Cricetulus griseus: one gene and its partners. The protein of the gene in region 4 interacts with the protein of the main gene of each other region in a pairwise test. Links are inferred from orthologs where the notes say so. Each region holds a gene or a part of one and is shown on either strand. Other genes may lie near its edges. The genes, in order: Ppih, cyclin-dependent kinases regulatory subunit 1, Rfc5, Xiap, protein N-terminal glutamine amidohydrolase, Ssx2ip and Ube2w.

Region 1 (3,960 bases), on a different chromosome or scaffold from region 4:
CCTTGGGCTACCTCAGCAAGCAGAGCAAACACCCTTTGAATTGCCTGCCTCTCCTGACCCCTTGCCACTAACTGGCTTGTGGTTATCAGCCAGGTGGTGGTGGCGCACGCCTTTAATCACAGCACTCGGGAAGCAGAGGCAGGCGGATCTTTTTGAGTTCGAGACCAACCTAGTCTTATGAGAGTTAGTTCCAGGCAAGCCTCCAAAACCACAGAAAAACCTTGTCTTGAGAAACAAAAAACAAAACAAAACAAAAACCAAAATAAAACAAAAAAACCCCTCAGCTTTCAAAAGGAAAAAAGACAGACCACAAAAACAAACAAAAAACTACAATTTTAGAGAGGGACACCAGAAGTGGAAGGAAAAATAGGGCATACAAGCAGTTGGCTCACTTCCTGTGGGGGAGGGGGGCTGCAGCTAATTTCAAAGTTTTCTGTGGTCAAAGAATGTGGTCTTAGATCATCTGTCTATAGGTAGACTAGCAAAGTCCAATTTTTGGTAACAAAAAAGCTCAGGTTTGGACAATGGGAGTTAATGATTCAAGTTTAGTATTGGTATATGTTCTAAGGGCACAGTCAGCAGTACCAGCAATTCTACAGTGCATCCCCTAGTCCATGCTCTCTCCATTTAACTTAGCTATTATTCTTAAATCTCAAGACTGGAGCCCTATAGGAAGAATAGCAAAGAAAAAACAGCAGTACTTACATTAACAAAATCTCCACCCTGAATCATGAAATCCTTTATGACCCTGAAACAGAGTAAAAACAAAACAAACAAAAAATTCCCGAGGGAAGGATTCAGTGGTTTGGTCACCAACATAGCAGCTTAGTAATTTTTTCTGAAGTACAATGTTTATCACCGTGGCTTAGAGACTGAGTCTTCACCCCTGGAGTTGAGCAAGATGAGGGATTACGAACCATAACTTGTTTTAAGCTCCAGGGGCATCTTTGTGTTGATCTAAGGTATATGAGTGAGCACCTGAACAACAGAAAAGGGCTGAAACCTGTCAGGAAGAAATAACATATTTACAAAAAAAAAAAAAAAAAAAAAAAAAAAAAAAAGTCAAGGGCTTAATGAAAATCTGGGGGGAAAGAAAGAACAACAGCAAATATATGTGAAATGGACTGCCACACACACACAGGGTAATGTAAGCTGTTATATACCCAGGCATAGTCCTTTCTTAGCCCCAGTTTCCTTCCTTAAAGAAGGCAGATTACACATACTACCTCACAAGGATGCTGGGAAGGATTAAAGACCATAATTCTAAAGCCCCTGATATGGATGACACAAAAATTTCAGGATTAAAGTGGAACAACTTCTGTCAAACCCTAACAAAAATTGGTAAACACAGAAAGCAAGGCATTCAAGAAGGTCAGGTTCCTGCAGATGACTGCCTGATAATAGTAATTATTACCAAAGCCTCTACCTGGAACCAGGGGGATGGTTCAGTGGGTAAAGTCCTTGTTAATGAGGCATGAGGACCTGAGTTCAGATCCCTAGAACCCACATAAAAGCTGGGTATAGAAGCCTATGGAACTGCACCTGCACCCAACTGATAGTGTTTTCCTTGCCATCATTTCTACATCTAGGATGACTTACGGTGCCTGTGGTGCTGAGTATTGAACCCAGGGTCTCAGGTATGCTGGGAAAATTCTCTACCACCAAGCTACATCCTCAGCCCTGGACATGACACTTTAAACAACAAACCTAATCTACCATAGGTGTACTCAGGTGTTCAGGATTGCCTGCACAGATACCAAGTGATGACTGCATTAACAGTTTGCCAAAAGCCTTACCTATGGAAGGTGCTTCCTTTGTATCCTATTGGAACACCATCTTTTCTGTAACCAAAAAGAAAGACTTGGAGTGATGACAAATAACCATGGGTCCTTTCCGTTTGGGACACACTGGAGGCTAAAAGGACTCTCAGAAAGATTTGGATAGAAGCAAGCTAAAGAACGCATCGATAAAGAAGACACCCTCTGAATATCATCTTCCACCACTCAAGACTTGCCCATGGTTCCCCAATACCCTCACCAAACCTCCAGGACACCCTTCAGGAGTAGGAGGAATAGAGGTCAAACACATCTGAGACTGACCTGAACTCTCCAGTGCAGAATTGCCTAAAAGGAAAGAAACAATGAACAGTTACCATGCCATCGCTGCCCGGAGCATCTCTAATATCGGGAGATGAGGGTACAAACAGTGGGGCCAGCAAGTCCACTAACTGGTCGGCCGGATGTCAGGGCATGCAGCCATGTAAACTAATATCACAAATTGACACAGGAACGGTCAAACCCGGTAGCTATTCGGCCAGTGCAATAATACACAGAGCACAGAGCACAAGGCAGTGGACGGATGGACAGAGGCAGACATTGCAAAGAGCGCCCCGAGGCCGGCTTCGGGCTCAGCCACGCTGATTCAGTGGAGCATCTCCTCACCTGAAGTTCTCTGCCGTCTTAGGCACCACGTCTGCAAACAGCTCGATCTTCATGCGACCAACCTCCTGCAAGTGACGGGAGACGCAAGAAGGCTCAGTCCACGACCGCAGCCCACGCAGCTCGGAAGCGCCCACCTCGGCCGCCCTGGCCCAGCCAGTCTCGGCTGCCTCCCTCACCCGTGTCCTGCCCAGCCGCGCAGGTCCGCCGGGCCTCCCGCACCTCACCTGGCCGCCGATGCTGACATCAAAGAAGACCACCGGATTGACTGGACTTGAATTTGCCACCGCCATGGCTCTGACCCGGAAGTAGAAGTCCAGTTTCCGGGGACCGGCCTTGCTGAATTCAGCCAAAGCACAGGGGCCGTGGAAACCGACCGGGGTTGGGCCCCGCCCCCGGAAGCGCGGCGCGGACCGCCGGGAAGGCGGACACTGGTGTTGTAGAGCGGGTCGGTTCTGAGGGAAGGCGGGGATGAGGGGAGAAGGCGCAGAAGCGAGGGAGTGCAGGCATCTTCGCCGAAGGCGGCGGGCTCCCTACTCGCGTGACTGTACTAGTGCAGTACAAATGAGTGACCGGCAGACAGCATTTGCTGAGCCGTCACACTGGGTGTCCCCTGCCCCCGAGGCGGCACCCACGAGGGGAGAACCCTCAGAATCACCCTCCGTGTTGTAAAATGTTACGTAGGCTGGCTCATTCGGGATCCTGGAAATGTGATTTCATTTCTGTCGCAAGCTTCCAACTCATTTCCCACAGAGTTGCAGTTTAAGAAACAACCTTTGTGCTTGTAAATCGTGTGTGGGGGATTTGCATATTTAACGTAAATCCAGCTGTGTATACGAAGGCCCGAATGCCATTTATTTGCCACCGCTGGTAGCGAAGACCTGAAAGTAGAGACCTCACACTACCTAGCCTCATCTCCTGCCTACCACTCTTTACCCTTTCTGGCTCGGTTGTGGAGACGTTAGATTGCTACGTCCTTTAAGGCCTTGATTCGAGTTTTGTCTCTTCTAAAATATTTTTTTTTCACCTTAAATGTTTTTGAGACAGTCTTGCTGCTTATCAAGGGCTGGCTTTGAGCTCAACGATATTCCTACCTCAGCGTCCCAAATGCTGGGATTACCTACATGGTTTGCCATATCCTTTTGGAACTGGCGTTGAACAGATGGTTCAGGAGGATCAGGGCATCCCAGCACCCATGCGACAAACTGGGTATCCTGCATGTTATTCTTTTGTTTAAAAAGAAGAAAAGAGAAATATTGAGACAGACATATTGACTATAAGTTTATTATAAGGCCCGGTAGAATGGGGAGACTAAGAAGAGGAACAGGGTAATGGCTGACCGCCATGGCCGGTCGCCATAGAGAGAGAGAGCGGGGAAACAGAGAAACGGGGAGAGAGAGACAGACAGAGCGTAAAGGTGCAGGGGCCTATCTTTTAAAGGGGTCCTCTGCACCTGCGTGCAGACTTCTTTCCCATGGAACCTTGGGCTGACCAGGGTATTGCCTGAGTGGATTCCACCAGG
Region 2 (2,250 bases), on a different chromosome or scaffold from region 4:
GCCAATACCAAGCTGTTTTCAGAACTATAGCTCTATAATAGAGCTTTAAGTCAGGGATGGTGATACCTCCAGAAGTTCCTTTATTTTTTTATTTTTTTATATTATAAAAACTTCCTTTAATCAAGGCTTGTAACATGGAAGAGATTTGTCAGATAAAATGGAAAGTTTCCAATATATTGAAACATAAATCCGTAAGTCACCATAAATACAATACCCAATAGTAAAAACCACAACAGGAAATTCACACTATCCCTGTAACAGCCATGATCTGATTTTCACATGCTTCCCAGAGATGGCAAGTATGGATATGCCTACTGGATAAAGAGCACACCAGGTCTTTGAGGTCACACTCATCTGACAGGTTGTGGCATTGGTGGCTCAGCTCAAGAAGCAAAGCAGGTACCAACACAATCAAACAATGTTTTGAACAAACATCCTTTAAATGTCAAAGTGAGAAATAAGAAAGCAACATAATCATGCTATCAGAAGGTGTAGGAAGGAAGGACAGCTGTGTAAAGCTTGAGTTTGAAAGGTGGTTCAACAGCTTCATTTCTTTGGCTTCTTGGGTAGTGGCTGCCGGAAGAGTAAGATGTGAAGTTCTGGTTCATGGATCATCATATAATGGACCCATCCTTGACTCTGCTGAACGCCAAGATTTCTCCATTCAGATTCAGACATCAAATGCGTTTTAGGGACCAGCTTGGCTATGTCTTTGGGCAACATGACATGCCGGTACTCGAACTCCTCGTCATCGTATTTGTCCAAATAGTAAATCTGTTTGTGCGACATGACTGCTCAGCCCGAGGGCCCTCAGCCCCGCACCGCCGGCCTCCTGATGACTCCCAGAAGTTCCTTTATTGTACAGGTTGTTTGGCTATCCTGGGTTTTTTGTTTTTCCATATAAAGTTGAGTATTTTTCTTTCAAGGTCTGTGAAGAACTGTGCTGGGATTTTGATGGGGATTATGTTGAATCTGTAGATTGCTTTTGGCAAGATTGCCATTCTTACTGTGTTGATCTTACTTATCCAAGAGCATGGGAGGTCTTTCCATTTTCTGGTATCTTCTTTAATTTCTTTCTTTAAAGACTCAAAATTCTTATTATACAGGTCTTTCACTTGTTTGGTTAGAGTTAGCCCCCAAGATATTTTATGTTGTTTGTGGCTATGGTGAAGGGTGATGTTTCTCTGATTTCTTTCTCAGCCATATTCATCTATATATAGTAGGGCTACCTTTTTTTTGTTGTTGTTGTTAATCTTGTATCCTGCCACTTTGCTGAAGGTGTTTATCAGCGGTAGGAGTTCCCTGGTAGAATTTTTTGGGTCACTTATGTAAACTATTATATCATCTGCAAATAGTGAAAATTTGCCTTCTTCCTTTCCAATTTGTATCCCCTTGATCTCCTTTTGTTGTCTTATTGCTCTAGTAATGGGTTACCTCCAGCCAGCTCTGGGCAAATATGCTACAGAATGTTTGCAGAACTACAAAATCCCCTAAAATATATTTTTTTTTCTGAAATCTTCCCATCACCAAGCAAAGCATGACTATATACTGAATGAAGAAATGAGGACATGACTGCTCCAGATATGGTGGAGGACAAGATTTATTGTAGATATGAGGGAGACAACAGCCAGAGGCATCTGGAAGGGTCCATATAAACTGTGCCATGAGAGAAGGGGTGCAGGGGTAGGAGTGAGAGGAAGAGAAGAGTGGAGAAAGGAGGAGGCCAAGAGGGGAACCAAGAGACCAAGAGACTGCATGCTCAAAAAGGTTGAGATTATAGGGGGATCAGAGGCTGGGGGAGGAGAAACCCAGACCATGGGCTGAAGAGAGGTTGAGGCTAGGGGGCAGCATATGCCACTCAAGATGACTCTGTGACAGGTTATTTGTGAGTAGGGACTGAGAGAGACTGGTCACCAGAATCAGCTTTGATATGTTAAAGAGGCACCTCAGCCATTTGTCTGTGGTTTCTGTGAGATCTAACGTTCCAGCCTTTTGTGGGTGATAAAGGGTGATGGAATCTTTTCTATTACTGCTTCCTGCTGGAATGGCATCTGTGTTGGGGCCCAGGAAGGCTGGAATGATGGCCAAAGAATGAGAAGAGAGGAGTACAGGCTGGTGGGGAGGGGAGGGGGGACGACACATCTGTTTCCCCTCACTGCCCAGGTTCTGTGGGACCACCTGGGGCTGGGAAAGTGCAGGTCGCTTTAGAGCAGTCTGAGATGTTGAACCACCTGAGGCTAGCCACTTTAG
Region 3 (4,261 bases), on a different chromosome or scaffold from region 4:
GAACACTGGACTACAAAGGGCTGAGCCTCATGTCTACTGTGTAAGTCAAATGCTTTTGAGTGAGGGTCTTTTGTCCTCAGATTGGTCTTGAACTCACATAGCCTAAAGATGACCACAACTAAGGATCAAACCCAGGACTTTGTGTATGGTAGTCTCTACCAACTGAGCTACATCCCTAGTCCCCCAAATGCTTTTCTTCCAACATAACATTCAGATTTTTGTAATCTAAGGGTATTAAGATTATCAGCCAAGGTCCCAACATCCACAGACTACATATCTCAGTATAGTAATCTAAGATGATCCAGATGAAGAAACTGACATTTTAAAAGTGTTTGTTGAGTCTACAGCAATGGTTCTCAATCTGTGGGTCATGACCCCTTTGGAGGGACATCTAATAGACCCTTTCACAGGTGTCACCTAAGACCATTGGAAAATACAAATATTTATATTACGATTCATAACTAGCAAAATTACAGTTATGAAGTAAAAATGAAAGTAATTTTATGTTTGGGGTCATCACAGCACAAGGAACTGTGTTAAAGGGTTACAGCATTAGGAAGGTTGAGAACCACAGTTCTAGAGAAGCTACAGGGCTATGCAGTATTAATTGGCACCCCTAAATCTAGGGGGGGTTAACAAGAGCTGTGGGCAGGTAGAACAGGTTGTGGGGAGGGCACGGCCTCTGATTTGAGCCCTGTAGGAAGTGGAGGTTGCCCGGTATTAACACCTTAGTGAGTCCAAATAACATCTCTATTTAACCCCTCCTGCCCCCACTCAGATCTCGATGGCCAAACCCAACCAGGACACAGAGGCCAGGAAGGTAAAGAAAACTAGTGGAATGAAAGCTAAGAGTCTGGAGGTCTGAGCTACTTGTGGAGTGAGAATGTCCCATTCACCTCCAAGACCATGGAGCCGAATTCTTTATCTTTGTACAGCTGCTTGGCACAGGCCAGGATGGTGGATGTCTTTCCTGTCCCTGGAGGGCCATAGAGAAGTAGGTGTGGCAGGCGGTCCTCACTGATGAACTTCTGAACTAAGGCGGGAGTAAGGAGACAATGTCAGCCTTGAACTCACAGAGATCCAACTGCCTCTGCCTCCCGAGTGCTGGGATTAAAGGTGTGCTCCACCAATGCCCGCCTGTGGTTGCTGCTCTTACAGGTTCCTAGCACCTACACACCTACACTGTAGCTTACAATTGCCTACAATGCCACTTCTAGAGGACCCAATACCCTCTTCTGGCCTCTAGAGGCACCAGGCACACATGATACACAGACATGTATGTGTAAACAAAACACCTAAACAAAAAATAGAATAAAAATAATTATCTTTAAAAATTTGTCCTCGGAGGTATTTTAGTGCAGTTATGGAAAAGGAACCAATACACTCCATCCTACAAAGTCCAGTCCTTCCTTTACACTGTCTCCTAGCAGAGACAGCATCAACACCAAATGTATCCAAGCCCTCCCACAAGGACAACAACCGACAGGGATACTCACTGGTACTCAGAATGTCCTGGTGAGAAATGAGATCGGCCAGGGTCTGTGGTCGGTACTTTTCAACCCTGAAATGGGATTCAACACAAATTACAGCAGCATATACAGATGCAAGCCATGTTCTGCCGCATGCAAAGAAACGCCTTCACATCCCAAGCAGGAGAGGAAGAGAAACCCTTCCCATCTCAATACAGCCAGTGACTCTCACAACCAGTGGTGGGTTCTGTCCCCCGGGAGACATCTGCCAGGCCATTAGCTGTAATAAGTGGGCAGAGGGCGTTAGTGGCATCTGGTGAGTAGAAGTCAGGAGTGGCTGAACATCCTACATTGGGCTCCACCCCCACAGTGGGCCCCAAGTCAACAGCACTGAGCTTCAACTTGGATAGGCATGTGACTTTGAAAAGAACTCATACTCAAATATCCACAAGTAAGTTATGATTTAGCCAGGCCATGCTACAGCATGGAGCAACCTTGAGTTGGAGAAGCCAGACTCAAAAGGTCACAGTCTGTGACTCCATTCCTGTGACTTTAATGTGTGGCCCACGACAATTCTTCCTCCTCGGACACAGACCAGAAAAGTAGTAAGAATGGCCAGACAGCTGCTGTAGGACCGTTCAGAATGCAAGTCCTGGGGCCCGATATGGCTCAGCAAGCAAAGGTACTTGACGCTAAGTCTGAGAACCTGGGATCGATCCCGGGGATCCAAGTTGCTGGGAGGGAAGAACCCGGTCCTGTAAGTTGTCCTCTGACCTCCACACGAGTGCGCTGCTACACTCCCCTCCCCCACAAATAAAAGGTAATATGAAAGGAAAAAAGAAAGCAAGCGCTGAATTCGGATACCTGAGGTCGGTCGAATGCAAGCCTACGCACTACCCCCAGTTTCTGAGCTTTTCTAAAGAAAGTCAGGATCGATCTCTTAGGGTCATCAAAGGGCATTGGCGATGCTCTAGGCATCAGAGGATGGCTAAGCTGCGCTCAGGCCTCGGTAGCATGACTGTTGGGTATGGGAGCGGGGGAGCGGGCGGCTGCAGGCAAGGCTGAGGCGCCAAGGCCGGGTGTCTGCAGTGCCCACGCGGGCCGCAGGCCGGGAGCGGGAAGGGGGTCGTAAAGCTTCTAGAAAGAAGGGCGGAAAGCAGGATGCGGGGCCGCTCCTACCAGGGCAAGTTCCGGGCCCGGGCCGCCGCGGGCCGCTGCTCCGGAGGCACCGCCGCCATGACTGACAGATGCTGCGGGCCCGGGGCACCGACCTGCCTTACTCAGAGTCCGCGCGCAAACCAATCCTCGCGAGGCTTCGCCTCCCGCTTCCGGCTTCCTGCCTCCGGCCGGCCTCTTCCCTGTTGCTAGGGCTCTAGTTGCTAGGTAACCCGAGGCGCCGGCCGGCTGCCCTGCCACAGCTGGCTGTTCCAGCCGGAGCGGGCTGTCTGAGCCACGCAGGAGGTCCAGGGAGACCGCGCGCCGCGCCGCAGCCGGTGCCACCGCGGGCCTCACCAGGACCACATCCTGCCAGCGCAAGGGCAAGCCACAATGGAGCAGCAGGTTCCACAGCCAGAAACACTTCCGCGGGTGTGGGTACAGGCAGTGCGCCCTGGGTTCCATAACCAGCAGCACACAAACACGCGTGCGCACAAATACACACACGAAAACACAGTTACATATACAAGCATACATCCATGCAAACATATGCACAACAGTCACATACATATACTCTCACATACACATAAACACATTTGCACGCACATACACATACACATATAGACATATACACGAAAATACAATCACATATACAAACATACATACACAGATGCATATATATATCCCCACATTCATATACATGTACACTTATGCACACACATAAACACGTGCAGTCACACATACAGAAGCACACACTCAGACATATATACACACAAATACACACAGCTACATATATACACACAAACATGAATACATATAACACATTCACATACATGTACACTCACATACACACACTCACACATAAACATACACATGAAGACATCTGTGTGTTTGTATATATACATATGTATATATACATATACATTTATTTTCCCCTACATCAAGAGGATTTCAGACCAATTTTATTTTCAACTTTAAAATTTATTCAGCACCAGACATGGTTGTGCACACCTTTAATCTCAGCACTTGGGAGGAAAGGAAGGTGGATCTCTGAATTCAAGGTCTACAGATTGAGTTCCAGGGCAGCCAGAGCTACATAGTGAGACCCTGTCTTGAAAAACAAATTCATTTTAATTAATTAATTAGTGTGTTTGTGCTACTTGGCCAAAGGTACCTCTCTTCACTGAGCCAACTCAACAGCCCAACTTTCACCTCTTTTGCTGCTCTGTCTTTTCTATAAGGAGTGTGTATAACATCCACAATAAAGCCTTTATTATCATTATTATCATTATCATTATTATTATTATTATTTGCTTGCTTTTATTTTAAGGCAGGGTCTCACTTTGTAGCCTCAACTGACCTGGAGTTTGTTAGTATTCAGGCATCTGTACTGTTCTGCCCTTGGGATTCTGACAGGATAGGCCCTCAGCTGCAGCCCCAAAGAGCACCAATTGTGCACATTCACTACATTCCCTTTAAAAAGGGCCCTGTCTACCTCCCCACCTCTGTCTGCCGCCCCAGTCTCTCTGCCTCCCTCCCTTTTCTCCTGATCCTGTCCCCGGAGGCCAGTCTCCCCCTCCCCTCCCCTTTCTCCCATTCCCTTTACTCTAACACACACACACACACACACACACACA
Region 4 (2,720 bases):
GATCCACATTTATAATCTCCATAATCAGGGGGAGAGGCTGTAGGATAACTAGTTTCAGACTAGCCTGGCTCCATAGTAAGACCTGTTGAAAACATCAACAGCAAAAGAAAATACATTAAATTATGTTGGAAGAAAACATAGGCTTTTAAGCATTAAAGATTATTGTCATGGGGAGGCAGCTAAATGGGTAAATTGCTCTGTAAACATGAGGACCTAAGTTTGGATCTTCAGACTAGCCTAAAAGCCAGATGTGGTGTGAACCTGTAACCCCAACACTGGGTATATGAGAAAGAGAGACAAGCAGATCCTCAGGGATTCCTGACCAGCCAGTGTAGCCAATCAGTGAATTCCAGTGTCAGAGAGAGACTCTGTCTCAAAAAATAATATAGAGGAGCAATTGAGAAAGATAACTAACAAGTTTCTACCCCTCATGTACACACGAAAGCACACTTATATACACAAGTTTGGTAAATACTGTTCCCTCTAGGACACTAAATGCCATAAAAAGGAATGGTGTCAGGCATGCTAGCACAAATTTTTAATCCCAGCATTCAGGTGGCAGAGGCAGTCGGATCTCTGAGTTCCGGGCCAACCAGAGCTATACAGTGAGATCCTGTTTTTGTTTCATTTTGGTTTTATTGAGTTTCTTGTTTGGTTGGTTGTTGGTTTTTAGTTTTTCGAGAGAGGCTTTCTCTGTGTAGTCCTGGCTGTCCTGGAACTCTCTCTGTCGACTAGGCTGGCCTGGAACTCACAGAGATCCACACTACCACACCTGGCTTGTTTTTAAAGGAGCTACATAGTTACATAGGGAAATGCATTGTATGTTTCCATAAATGTGTATACATACACAAAATGTCCCCACGTGCCAGTGTGACTAGTACCGGAAGCTTTAGAGTTAGAGGATGGTGTAATTGTTCAGTGGGTAAAGGCACCTGCTTCCAAGCCTGAAGACCTGATTGAGTTTGATCCTGGAACCTAGGTGGTGGAATGAGAGCACCAAGTCTTGAAAAGTTGCCCTTTGGCTTTCACATATGTGCTGTAATGTACACGCCTACACAAATATAAATAAAATGCAATAAATTATTTTTTAAAGAAAACTTGTTTTTGACAAACTGCTGTAAGAGGCAAGAATGTGGTACAGTGAATGCTATACGATACCCTGGACTTCATATCCAACATCGCTGACATCTCCCACCCTACCTCCACATACACCAAAGGAGAAACACAAGTTTACACAAAACCATTAGTATACAGTGATTACAAAGATAGTTAAAATATGTAATTATTTGTAGTGCCTAGCACACAGTATTTATGCTCTATTACTATTAATTTTGTTGCTATTATATATGACTACAATTACAGTTTTGTGGCATATTTGTTAGACTTTTACCAAACTGTTTTGACAAAAGTTCAACTATGCAGCTACTTCAGTGTCCTATATATGCTACTCATACTCAAACATGTTTTTATTTGGATGCCCTGCCAACATCTCAAACGTAGCTGAAAATGCAAACCCTCCATCTCCGTTTATGTTTCCAGTAATTATCACAATCTCCTTGATACATTAGCAAACCCAACTTTAGTTCCTCTTTCTCTCTTTAGCCCTTACATCTAGAATTATCAGTGCTCTTCAGGTATGTTGTGACTTTTACTTCATCCTTGCTTTTCTGCCTGGCAAATTGTTGCTCCACCATGGTCCTCCTCCTCCTCATGGTTCCTTTCCCAACCAGCTGGACAGGAAAACTTGTTCTTCTTGCCCCAGAGCCCTTTGTCTGTAACTTTATTACAGCACTGACTACTTTATACTTTGTACTTACCTCTCTAGCTGCAGCTCACAGCCTCTCCCACTAGCATACAAACTACTTAAGAATGTGTGCCATGTGTGAGTCATTTTCGTGTCTCCCAAATCTTGAGTGTCTGGCACACAGGAGGTCTCAGTGTTTGAATGAATTTAAACAACAAACCCTCAAACTAGTATATGTTGTTTTTCTCTTTGTGCAGACATCAGTACGGAAGAGCAGCTGAGGCGCCTACAAGAAGAGAAGCTTTGCAAAATCTGCATGGATAGAAATATTGCTGTAGTTTTTGTTCCTTGTGGACATCTGGTCACTTGTAAACAGTGTGCTGAAGCAGTTGACAAATGTCCCATGTGCTACACAATCATTACCTTCAAACAAAAAATTTTTATGTCTTAATTGAGAGCAACAGTAGGCATGTTATACTCTTCTTACTCTAATTGAATGTGTGATGTGAGCAAACTTTAAGTAATCAGCATTGCATTCCATTAGCATCTGCTGCCAAGTGGAAACAAATGTTAACAGCACTGGTACTGTCTAAACTTTGGATTTCTGGAACTTTCAGGTTATTAGCTATATCGTTTATCCAGTTTTTTACTCAATTAAAGCCTTAGACAAAGAAGCATTTAATATTATAACTTTTCACCTTGTGTATTTGTAGTACACTGACTTGATTTCTATGTGTAAGTGAATTAATCACTATCATTTTTCATTCCTTTTGGATAAGCTTAACAAATGGAGTGTTCTGTATAAGCAGGGAGATTTGAGTTAATCTACCCATTCACTTGCTCTGTTTATTGTGAACAGAGAATACACTGTTCCACACTGGTGGGAGGATAAACATTGGTTTGTAGATGTTTGTGTCTGTGTTTTGGATTCTGTCCATTTTCTTTCAAATTTATAAACATACTTGTATGAATGGTT
Region 5 (3,500 bases), on a different chromosome or scaffold from region 4:
CCTGCCTAGCTACTGGCTAATCAGCTTTTTATGACACCAATCACAGCAATACAGCTTCACACTGTGTACAGATAGCCCACAAGTCTACCAACCCTACAGTCTACCAACTACAGTCTACCAATCCTATAGCCTACCAACTACAGTCTACTAATCCTACAGCCTACCAACCCTACAGCCTACCAACTACAGTCTAAACTACAGTCTACCAATCCTACAGTCTACCAACTACATTCTCCAATCCTACAGCCTACCAATCCTACAGCCTACCAACTACAGTCTACCAACTACAATCTACCAACCCTACAGCCTACCAACTACAGTCTAAACTACAGTCTACCAATCCTACAGTCTACCAACTACAGTCTACCAACTACAGTCTACCAACTACAGTCTATTAACTACAGTCTACCAATCCTACAGTCTACCAACTACAGCCTACCAATCCTACAGTCTACCAATCCTACAGTCTACCAATCCTATGAGGAAGGCATGATGGGAGTGACTGTTCATGGCAGCAGGAATACGAGACAATTGTTCCTCACATGACAACAGTCTGGGAGAACACAGGCTATAACCACAAGTAGGTACAACCTTCAAGGCCCATTCCCACTGACACGCTTGTACCAGCCAGGCCTCGGGTCTCAGAGGCTCCACAACCTCACAGAATAGATTCACCAGCTAGGGACCAGGAATTCAGACACAGAAGCCCGTAGAGGACTTTTCACACACAAACCATTATAGATCCCAAAACAAAAGTTAGACAACTATATGTCCACAGAGCTTCTGCCACAGACAGAATAACATCCATTCTCAAAAGATCCTTTTACTAATGACTGTCATGGCCTTTCTCTAGAGTCCTTTCAACTCTGCTTCACCACAGCATACTGGTTACTCAGAGGCCACAAGGAACACTGCATCAGAGGCTCTTAGGTGGCCAGCTTACCCAGATCACAGGTCCATTCCCAGGTCTTGCCTGCTGTTTCCAAATAGGTACCTACAAAACAGAGGACATTCGTGAGTCTCATTCAAACCCGTCTAGATTCTTTATACCACCAATACACTAGTAAGTAATAAACTATTCCTTAGTGGACTGGGGAGATGGGACAGCAGATCTCACACACTGGCCGCTCCTGGAGAAGACCTAGGATTGCTCCCAGCACCCACATGGCAACTCACACACTGGCTGCTCCTGGAGAAGACAGAATGCTCCCAGCACCCACATGGTAGCTAATAGACATCTCTAACTCCAGGTCCAAGGGATCCAAGCCCTTCTTCTGGCCTCTGCAGGCACAGTGCACACAAGGTACACAGACCTGTATGTAGGCAAAGCACCTGTAAACATTTTAAAAAATTAGCCAGGCATAGTTGCACATGCCTTTAATCCCAACACTCAAAAGCAGAGGTAGGTGGTCCTCTGAGTTTGAAGCCAGTCAGGGATACATAGTGAGACCCAATTTCAGGATAAATAGATAAATTAAGTTAAATTCTGAAGTCAAAAACGTTTCTGTTTCTAAGCAATCAAGGTGAAAGAATAAAATCTAAACCCTACGCGCAGGCACCCTGCACAGTGAGAGTTCACAAGAACTGAAGATACTGCAGTGTTCTCCAGAGAGCAAGGGGCCTGCACCAGGAAGCAGAGGCCAGGCGGGGTCAGTCCTCAGTTACTCATGAGCCCTCTCTGCATCTCATCTTCTTCACGGATTAGGTGGAGAAAGTTAGCAGGTCACGGAGGCTCGTGCCTGAAATCCCAGCCTCAGCTATGTGATGACTGTGAAGCTAGTGGGCTGAGATACATGCGACCCGTCTCCAAAACAAAAGTAAAGTCAATAAAGTAAAACAGAGAAAGTCGTTTAGACCCTGCCTATTTCATAGAACTTCTAAGAGCCCCGAATGAGGCAACGTCCACAAAAGTGTTTGGAAATCCCAAAGGGCTACTTCTAATGCTCCCTGAAAGTTTACTCCAGCTCTATTCAAACTTCAGACACAAATCTTTACTTCAAATCAGAGTTATATGGCTTAATTATACAATTAAAAAAGCCCCAAGCTAGACACAGAGCATGCCTATAAACCCAGTACTCAGAGGGTCCCCACAAGTTTGTGCCCAGCGTGGTCTACACAATGGGTTCCAGGTCAGCCAAGGTCTACACTATGAGACTCTGTTGCAAAAAGCAAGTTGCTTGTGCATTCTACATAAACATGCCATTACATACTTCATTACCTACAAGCAAGGGACCAAATTCTCCTGAACCAAATCTAATGAAGAAAAAGAAAGCTGTTTGAAAGGCTGCTGTTACAAAGCACATTTGAGAACAGAATAGCTTCCAGACTGCGCTGAGCTTCTGATGTCACCGCCATCACTCACCAACTTACCATCTTCTTCTCATTTGATATGAAGACAGCGGAACACTCTTCCAAGGGATACTGGTCATGGGTTTTGATGTATTCACAGAGCTTCCAAATGTTCTCCTCGCTAAAATAAAATAATTGTTTAATCCATATCATTGGAAAGGACCTTAACCACCTCATCAGAGAGCTGGGTAACAGTGACTCTCCTCTAAGGCACAGTCAACAAGCTGCTAGCCAACCTGTACTGTGCACGCATCCAGACAGAGGACCACACCCACTGAAGACTATGACCTGTAAAAGAGTGTGCCAGGATTCCAGAAGCTGAGAAACCATTGGGATCCAAACTCAACACTAACAAGAAAAGCAGCTTTGTATTCTGTCTTCTCTAAGAACCGCTTGTCTCCTCTATAAAATGCACGTTTTCACGTACACCATAACCCTCCAGAAATCCCAATTAATAGAGAAATGTCACAGGACTTTTTTGTTTGGTTGTTTTGGTTATCAAGACAGGGTTTCTCTGTGTAACTGACCTAACTATGCTGGAACTCTCTCGGTAGACCAGGCTGGCCTTGAATTCAGAGATCTGCCTGCCTCTGCCTCTGGAATGTTGGGCTTAAAGGCGTGCACCACCACCGCCAAGCTCTTGACAGAATGTTTTAAATTAGATTTGATATAGAATTTAGTCCCTTAGTTGTAGCTGACAAACTATATGATGGCATCTTTATGCAGACTGCGTCCCCTCCTTCCCTCCCTCCCTCCCTCTCTTCCTTCCTTCCTCCCTTTTTGAGACAAATGTCTCATAATGTAGACCTTGGCTGACCTGGAACTCGATGTGTGGACCAAACTGGCCACAAACTTGTGGTGACCTTTTGAGTACTTGTGAACTACAGGCACGCTCCATGTGTGGTTTAGAGCCTTGTTAATTGCATAATTAGAGACAGACAGACATGAGAGACATACATACACACACTACATACATACATGCATGCATGTTTCCAAGCACTCAACGTCAAGGTGAAGGCGTGTGAAGCCCGCTCCTAAGCGCAGGCACCCTGCACAGTGAGAGTTCACCAGAACTGAAGATACTGCAGTGTTCTGCAGAGAGCAGGGGGCCTGCACCAGGAAGCAGAGGCCAGGCGGGGTCAGTCCTGTCC
Region 6 (3,500 bases), on a different chromosome or scaffold from region 4:
CTGCAGCTCACTTCTGCTCAGGGATCAGCCTGCACACAGTGAGGCTGCAGCTCACCTCTGCACAGAGGTTCCCTGAACACAGTGAGGCTGCAGCTCACCTCTGCTCAGAGATCAGCCTGCACACAGTGAGGCTGCAGCTCACCTCTGCACAGAGGTTCCCTGCACACAGTGAGGCTGCAGCTCACCTCTGCTCAGAGAGATCAGCCTGCACACAGTGAGGCTGCAGCTCACCTCTGCTCAGAGATCAGCCTGCACACAGTGAGGCTGCACACAGCTCACCTCTGCACTGGGTGGGTGGGCACTCAGATTCAACAGCTTGTGACACTTACTTCCTGAGAAGGCACTGAAAAGTTTCACATTTTCTGAGTTCTGGTGGTCAAAGGTCGTCATGTTTAAAAACTGTTGCTTTAGCCAGCTGGCTCTTTCTTCTTCGAACGCCTTTCTCTAGGGTAACAAACAAACCAAGAACCATCAATGACTCACTGTCATTTCCCATAACTTCTCCAGCTGCTTCCTCTCTGGCCACCTGTACATTGCTTGTATGAAATAGTCACCTAGAAACTATATAAGACACTTGAGAAAGTTATATTGAAAAAAAAAATCTGGGGGCTGAAAAGATGGTGCAATGGTTAAGAGCACTTGTTGCTCTTACAGAGGACCTGGGTTCAATTCCCAACACTTACACGGTGGCTCACAACCATCAGTAACACCAGTTCCAGGGGATACAAGATCCTCTTCTGGCCTCTGAGGACACCAGGCACACACGGTGCACAGACATGTGCAGCAGAGACATACATTCAGGTAAAACACCCTCCTACACTATATCATTTTTAAATAATTTAAATAATAGCAAATCATAGATTTCACTTACTACACCAACAGAGTAGTAGCAGGATTTTGAACACAAAGAACATACAACCATGAGACTGCTATCAGAAAAATACCCTGCTTCATAAGTCAGTCGCCTGGAAACAGGCTTCTGACTACATCAGGCATGTCTTTCGTCCTCTAGCCATGCTACTGAGCCCCAAGAGGGCAGACACACAGATCATACCAAGTGACTGCTCTGCTGTCAGCTGATGACTCCTAAACCACATTTTCTCTCATCTGCCTGTCTGATCTGTCACTGTCACCTGTGTCTGCAAGTAGGCACACTCTCAGATAGCTGGAGGGACACACGGCAAGTTTGTGGCCTGAGGAAGACAACTACTGATGAAAGGGACTTTACAATTATGGACAAAATCAGTGTCAGCCCTTAAAATAACCAGGACTGAGTCTTTCATAAATGGGAGCGTAAAACCAAATATCACCAGGCAGCAGAGAAAACCAATGGCAGAAGAGGAAAAAGGGCCAAGATAATAAACTGACCGCTGATACTAATGTTTCAAGAGTTCTGAAAATACTGTCACATATATTACAAGACTCATAAATGCACAACAATAATAGTGTACAAAGAACAGGAAAATTACAAAATACTAAAACTGATCCAAAGAATAATGTAAGAGAATATCCAGAACTAAGATCCCAATGTCAGCCATGGACACACCTGGCAGCACGGAGAAGTCAAACATGGGAGACAAGCAGAAGAAACGGTCTCTAAAGAGTAGTCTACTGAAGACATTAGAACTAAAGAAATCCCATAAACTTCCACAGAAGGGCATAGGGGCAGGTGCCCCATGAAATTACCTACAAAGTAACACAGGCTATGTTGTCATCTAGCTTCTCCTCAGCAACAAAAACTAAATAATCCTTTCAGCTTCTGCTGATGCAATATAATATAGTTTTAGATATTTCAATATTCAGTTGTCACTATGCTGTGTTTCTTCTTAAAATGTGATATAAGATGGTGACACAGCCTTCCCAAGGAAAACAAGAGGACTAACATGAGCGGTAGAAACACAGCCATGGAGTCTGATGTGGCAGATTAGAGCACAAACACTAGAGAGCAATACGGCTTCTCCAGCAGGCAAAGTCTTACTGTATTTTCAGAGCAAAGACTGGCTCAGCCACAGGAGCCTTGCACGATGAGGCCCTGGATTCAACCCCCATCAGTTATGTGTTCAAATGCATTATTTGTTTATGAAATGAGTAATACCACATAATCATAGGATCAACATTTGTTTCTGGCTTTCAATTTTTAGGCCCCAACTTTCGATAAATCGCGCCATTTATAGGTATTTTATAACATAAGGCAGGATATACATAAGACAGCCCGTGGACAATAAAAACAATTTCATAAGGATGCAAAGAGAAGGAGCAAGCAAGTCAGGCGGGGAAAAGCTAACACCATGCTCGACATGACATGGTGGCACACGCCTTAATCACTCAAGCCAGTTCTGCACAGCAAGTTCTAGATCAGCACAGGCTGCATGGAGAGACTGCTCCAAAATCATCAAAATAAAACAAAAAAAAAAAAGTCCACTGGTCATTTTTTTTTTAAGAACTTTAACATACGGCATTTTAACCTTTTAAAAATGTTTTCCTTTTATGTGTCTGATGTATGTACACTACATGTGTACCTGGTGCCCATGGCCTCCTCCCCTGGCACTGGAGTTACAGATGGTGTGGGTGCTAGGAAGCCAGCCAGTCCTCTGTAAAAGCTGCGAGTACCACGCCTAGCTTCCAATAGACATTTTTTTTTTTAAAATCAGTGGTTGTTTCTAAGGGACGATACTGGAGATAAAGAGGACTCTGTGTCATTCCATAATATTTTGTATAGGTTGAGTTTTAAGTTTCAGTTTTTGAAAGGGCACTATGGAGGCAATGCATTGCTGACAGAATGCAAACTGTGGACATGTATGATGCAAAAATCCAAACCACTAACTTGTATACAATCCTCTACAAGGATTGGGATAAAGAATCTTTTACTGTGTTTTCTTTTCTGTTAACCAAGGATGCTGTTGGTACTATTTTCTGACAGCACATGATGCCCAAAAGGAACTGAGTATCTAACAGAGATCATCCATATGCTCAGCCTCTCCCTTCAATTTGCAGTTACTCGTCATGGAGCAGGCCCCCAGGCCTGAGCACAACTGACTCCATGATGGAAGTGCCACCCAGGCCATGGATCTCAGCATGTGGACAGCACCTCTAGCCAAAACCAAAACAAAGATCTAGTCCACCAAAGCTACAGTTCTTGGAAAGTCTCTAAATGTACTAGCCTTGCTTTCTGGCTTCTGTACTTCTGCCTCTGGCTAACTGTTCTTGTTAACTGAAGTATGTCAACCCAAGTTTTGGTTTTGTGCTTAAAAGCTCAGCCTGAGGATGGCTGAGATCCCAAACTAACAGTGTAGTCATTTCTGACCATTCTTCTCAGGGAGTAGGATGGCTAGTGTGATCCTTCAGATGAAGTGGATCCAAGGAGCATCCACCTGCACCCTCCCAGACACCTGTGCTCGGGGCTGCAGCACTGCAGAGCTCACCTCCAGCCCCAAGCGGATCGCAGCTTCTGTAAAGCTGCGTCTTTCTCTCTCAAAATTCTTTTTTTGCTCTTTAAAAAG
Region 7 (4,029 bases), on a different chromosome or scaffold from region 4:
AGCAAAAAAGATAAAAAAACACATAAAAACAATCTGGACAGTGGTGGCACACACCTTTAGTCCCAGCACCTGTGAGGCAGAGGCAGGCAGACAGCTGAGTTAAGAGGACAGCCTGGCCTACAGAGTGAGTTCCAGAACAGCCAAACCAAAAAGATGATTGACTGATAGACAGACAGACAGACAGATAATTATAACCTCAGCTTTAAATTTCATATCCTCTAGTAAGAAACTGAAAGACCGCCCTAACTTGATTTTATTGCATATAAAAATTATTCCATTGCTATCAAGTGATCAAATCCCACATTACATGTGCACAGTATGGCTTGTTTTTAAAATACAGCTCCGACTGCAGCATAAGTAATCTCTTCTTCAGCAATAATAATAACCCCCTGTAGTAAGATATGGAAATCTTATCTAAAAATACTTGCTGAGTTAATGAACACCTTTGATTACTTACATTGTTGTGTTTGTTTTGAAAAGAGCTAATTCCTGCTGTGAAAATGGTCAGGAAATAAACTTTGTACAAAGATACAGAAATAAAAAGAAAACACACCAAAGTGTCCTTCAAAGAGTCTGCTACGGAGCTGGAGAGATAACTCAGTGGTTAAGAGCAAGAACAACTCTTGCAGAGGAGCCTGGTTTGGTTCCCAGCACCACACATCTGGCAACTGGAAAGCACCTGTTACAACTCTAGCTCCAGTCAATCAGAAATGGCCTACACAGACACCTGCATTCACATGCACACACCCACACCATAAAAATAAATCTTCCTCAAATGTTATTTCCCGAAAAAAATTATCAGATAATTTGAAATACATACAAAAGGCCAAGATTTAACCTTAATTGAAACAGAAAGGGTCAGTTCCCCATGCTAATCAGAAGACAAAGGAATGAAAGCCTGGTGCTAGAGTCTAAGGTAGTGATTGAGGCTCAGATCAGGCATAAAAGGCATTTTCCCCACTATTGAAGACACAGAGTGAATACCAAATATCCATCTCTCTTATATACAAACCTGCTTTTTCCAAATACTTGAAGTGTAGTAAAAGTTAACCAGCTCTCCTGCCAACGCCAAATACAATCCCAAGTGTGTGGATTTTAATCTTTATTTTTAGTCTTAAATCATGCCTGTTATCTTAAGACAGCTCATCTTCGAAAGGTCATAATAAACAATGTCTTAATACCGATAAAAATGTTAAAGCAATCATATAGCCCATCTGCTGTCCAACTGGTGCTCCACAGTTCCGTTTTTGGCCTCAGATGACGAAACTTCTCTAACGTCTCTGGGGAGAGTGTAAAGTATAACGTTTCCTGAAATTGTTCTTGTTTTTGCTGCACCATTTCGTGACATCTCTTCAACTAGAAATGTTACTTGCAGTTTTATTGTTCTGCAGGAGAAGCCAGAGGGACACGCAAAGGCAAAAGCAGAGTATTTTAAGGAAAGCAGGTTGAAAGACACAGTGAAAAGGGGGGAAAATGCGCAAGAATGAAAAACATTTCCAGCACAGAGAAGCGCCAACAACGGGATCTTGCTTATTCTTCTAGAAACAAAAGCCAAAAATTCTTCTAAGGAAAATGTGGTTTCTCTCTTTACTCAAGAGGGTGTAAAACTCCAAAAGGCGTTCCGCTGACTCTCTACACAAGAGTTCTACCCGCTCTCCTTATGTGCTTTAACACGCTAACCCTATCTGTACATTAAACGCCAGCTACAGATAATGCAATCTCTACAAACTACAACTGTAGTTGCCATCTTTGCCTGGGGAAAAAAAAAAAAGATTTTTTTTCTTGGATTTGGAAGGGGGAAAAAAGGAGTACATTAAGTTGGAAGGCAAGAAAACCACCATCAAGAGATTGATAGGGCACGGGTTAACAGGCACCTTCTACCAAACTAAGGTTTTAAAGGTCTGGGGAAGAAGGGCAAAGCCTTACCGAGTCCGCAAGGGTGGGGCATCCTAAGGGAAAAAAAATATATTAAGAGCGAGTTTCTCCAGAGGCCGAGGAGCAGGCCCACGAGCTCGCACCCAGGGTGGCACAGGACGCTGGGGACGCGGGCGAAGGGCGGCTTCGAAGGAGACGTGGGCTGCCGGGGAATGCCCCAGAGTGCGGGCTGACAGAAGGAGGCACCCACGGGGCACGGGATGAAGATCGAAGAAGAGCTAGCAAGGGCCGTGCGTTCCGAGGCTGCGCGTGGGAGGCCGGGCAAAGGCCGCGGAGGGCCGTGGGCAAGCGGCCGTCCTCGGCGAGGCGCTCCCCGGCTGCCCCGCGTTCTGCCAGTCTCGGGCCGCTCGGACCGCGGGCGACGGCGGCGGGCACAGCTGTTTCCACCCCGCCGGGGAGCGCAGGGGGAGGGGAGAGAGGAAAGCATCTCCCCCGTGGCCTGGGAGCCAAGCAGCGGCCGTCCTCGAGCGGGGGCGCGGAGCGGAGCCCCCACCGCGGAGCGCACGCCGAACTTCGCCCTTTCTTCCCCTCAGCCGCCTTTATGCCACAACTTCGCGGCCGCGACTGTCCGCGGCCACCGGCCGACACCCCCGCTCCGCTCGCCGACCGGTGATCCCCGACGCTCTGGGGTCAGGGAAGGCCACCGGGAGCCTGGGCCGCGGCCCCGGACGCCGCCCCCGCGCCGACGCTCGCCCCGTCTCGGCGGCCCCCACGCCCGCCCCGCTGCAGCAGCTCCGCTCACCTGCATTGACGCCATGATGAAACCATCCCCCCAAGGCCAGCGAGGCCAGAGACGCAGGGGGCGGAGCCGCCGTGCTCGCGTCACGCCGCGGGGGCCCAACATCCCGGGCACGGGGTGGAGTCGCCGATGGGAAGGGGCCGGCACGTCCGATTGGCTGTGGCGCGGGCGCCCGGGGGCGTGACGGGGCGGGGCGTGGTGGGGCGGGGCGGGGCGCCTTGGGTACCTCTCATCCCAGCCAGTTTACACGCTGGCCCACCCTCGCTACTGGGTGAGGCGCAGCTCAGGTTCGAACCGCAGCAGTACTCCCTAGATCATGAAGCTGTCTGGATGCGCGAATTTTTTGGTTGTTTTTATTTTCTTTTGGTCTCATTCTGTTTTCCTAGCTACAGGTGTAAGATTTGTAGTTTTTTAAATTTATTTTTTAATCCCCCTTTGTATGCCTTTTCTACACCTACAGCTCTTCTTCTGAGCCAGATAAAACTTCGCGGGGGGGGGGGAGGTGCTCTCTAGTCTTTGCAGATCCAGGAGGCTATTTCTAATTTGGGGGTTGGGGGGAGGAACAGAGAGTCACAAATTTCCTTATAGAACAGAATGAAAACTGAGAGCAGGGCAACGCTGTCATCTTAAAGGCAAGAGCAACTAGATTTTTTGTGCTGAAATGTAGTGGGAAGGGAAGGAGAAAGAATAATGTTTTCTTTTGTGTGAGATTTTCTAGCTTCCTTACCCAACCATCTAAATTGCAAACTCCATGTGTATCATAGTAGTCGTTGTTACATCAGTCTATTTGATTAGCGATTTGACTCTAGCCACAAATTCTCATATATTAGCTCACGTTGTGCCATGTCTACATTTCTCTTCAGCCAATTCTGTGGTGGGCAGTTTTGTGATCAGCCAACCTATGAATGAGTTTGGGCAGGAAACACTGAGCATACAGAATTTATTCTAGGCATGCACCAGTTCTGCCAACATTTATCAGAAGTCACATTTTTAAAGCTCTTCCAGAACCAAAGATGTCTTTTGGTTTATAAAAGAAAAAATGGAAGGCTAAAGCTTGCACCTCCTGTCCTATCTCTAAAAGAGTCAAGGAGGCTGGCATGTCGAGTAGATAGATGGCTTTTGCTTTACCCGAAAGTTTAAATCTTTCTTTTTATTGACTTGCCTTCTTTTTTAGACATTTCTCTACGATAGATATAAATATAATGGCAATGTAGAATATCACTCTTCACACTTAAGATAGATCACGATGTTCTCTGGGAACATCCGCAAGGAAATGTGTTCACAAAAGGAAAAAGATCTTTAAAATATGCAGTTATTCTATGGCATAATGTTAACACAGTTTATCTTTACCAAAG

The links.
Region 1: the proteins of Xiap (region 4) and Ppih interact in binary tests that used the Homo sapiens proteins (3 or more experiments, as listed by UniProt). The two-hybrid records come from large-scale screens. The link is inferred for Cricetulus griseus from reciprocal best matches to the Homo sapiens genes XIAP and PPIH.
Region 2: the proteins of Xiap (region 4) and cyclin-dependent kinases regulatory subunit 1 interact in a two-hybrid assay, tested with the Homo sapiens proteins (3 studies listed by BioGRID and IntAct). The two-hybrid records come from large-scale screens. The link is inferred for Cricetulus griseus from reciprocal best matches to the Homo sapiens genes XIAP and CKS1B.
Region 3: the proteins of Xiap (region 4) and Rfc5 interact in binary tests that used the Homo sapiens proteins (3 or more experiments, as listed by UniProt). The link is inferred for Cricetulus griseus from reciprocal best matches to the Homo sapiens genes XIAP and RFC5.
Region 5: the proteins of Xiap (region 4) and protein N-terminal glutamine amidohydrolase interact in binary tests that used the Homo sapiens proteins (3 or more experiments, as listed by UniProt). The two-hybrid records come from large-scale screens. The link is inferred for Cricetulus griseus from reciprocal best matches to the Homo sapiens genes XIAP and NTAQ1.
Region 6: the proteins of Xiap (region 4) and Ssx2ip interact in binary tests that used the Homo sapiens proteins (3 or more experiments, as listed by UniProt). The two-hybrid records come from large-scale screens. The link is inferred for Cricetulus griseus from reciprocal best matches to the Homo sapiens genes XIAP and SSX2IP.
Region 7: the proteins of Xiap (region 4) and Ube2w interact in a two-hybrid assay, tested with the Homo sapiens proteins (2 studies listed by BioGRID and IntAct). The link is inferred for Cricetulus griseus from reciprocal best matches to the Homo sapiens genes XIAP and UBE2W.

What each region holds. Positions count from the first base shown.
Region 1 is NC_048595.1:32,848,508-32,852,467, reverse strand, and holds the start of Ppih (peptidyl-prolyl cis-trans isomerase H), read right to left. Parts: upstream 2,801-3,960; 5' UTR 2,732-2,800; coding exon 2,666-2,731; intron 2,507-2,665; coding exon 2,442-2,506; intron 2,124-2,441; coding exon 2,100-2,123; intron 1,842-2,099; coding exon 1,797-1,841; intron 749-1,796; coding exon 706-748; intron 1-705. UniProt on the Homo sapiens protein: PPIase that catalyzes the cis-trans isomerization of proline imidic peptide bonds in oligopeptides and may therefore assist protein folding. Participates in pre-mRNA splicing.
Region 2 is NC_048596.1:133,402,906-133,405,155, reverse strand, and holds cyclin-dependent kinases regulatory subunit 1, read right to left. Parts: upstream 828-2,250; 5' UTR 790-827; coding exon 547-789; 3' UTR 501-546; downstream 1-500.
Region 3 is NC_048597.1:97,330,277-97,334,537, forward strand, and holds the start of Rfc5 (replication factor C subunit 5), read right to left. Parts: upstream 2,801-4,261; 5' UTR 2,708-2,800; coding exon 2,649-2,707; intron 1,562-2,648; coding exon 1,497-1,561; intron 1,034-1,496; coding exon 897-1,033; intron 417-896; exon of another isoform or gene 1-416. UniProt on the Homo sapiens protein: Subunit of the replication factor C (RFC) complex which acts during elongation of primed DNA templates by DNA polymerases delta and epsilon, and is necessary for ATP-dependent loading of proliferating cell nuclear antigen (PCNA) onto primed DNA.
Region 4 is NC_048604.1:25,900,718-25,903,437, reverse strand, and holds the end of Xiap (baculoviral IAP repeat-containing protein 4), read left to right. Parts: intron 1-2,001; coding exon 2,002-2,195; 3' UTR 2,196-2,220; downstream 2,221-2,720.
Region 5 is NC_048603.1:29,479,147-29,482,646, forward strand, and holds part of protein N-terminal glutamine amidohydrolase, read right to left. Parts: intron 2,471-3,500; coding exon 2,371-2,470; intron 995-2,370; coding exon 944-994; intron 1-943. UniProt on the Homo sapiens protein: Mediates the side-chain deamidation of N-terminal glutamine residues to glutamate, an important step in N-end rule pathway of protein degradation.
Region 6 is NW_023276806.1:12,733,447-12,736,946, forward strand, and holds part of Ssx2ip (afadin- and alpha-actinin-binding protein), read right to left. Parts: coding exon 3,423-3,500; intron 445-3,422; coding exon 330-444; intron 1-329. UniProt on the Homo sapiens protein: Belongs to an adhesion system, which plays a role in the organization of homotypic, interneuronal and heterotypic cell-cell adherens junctions (AJs).
Region 7 is NC_048595.1:144,389,909-144,393,937, reverse strand, and holds the start of Ube2w (ubiquitin-conjugating enzyme E2 W), read right to left. Parts: upstream 2,801-4,029; 5' UTR 2,780-2,800; coding exon 2,678-2,779; intron 1-2,677. UniProt on the Homo sapiens protein: Accepts ubiquitin from the E1 complex and catalyzes its covalent attachment to other proteins.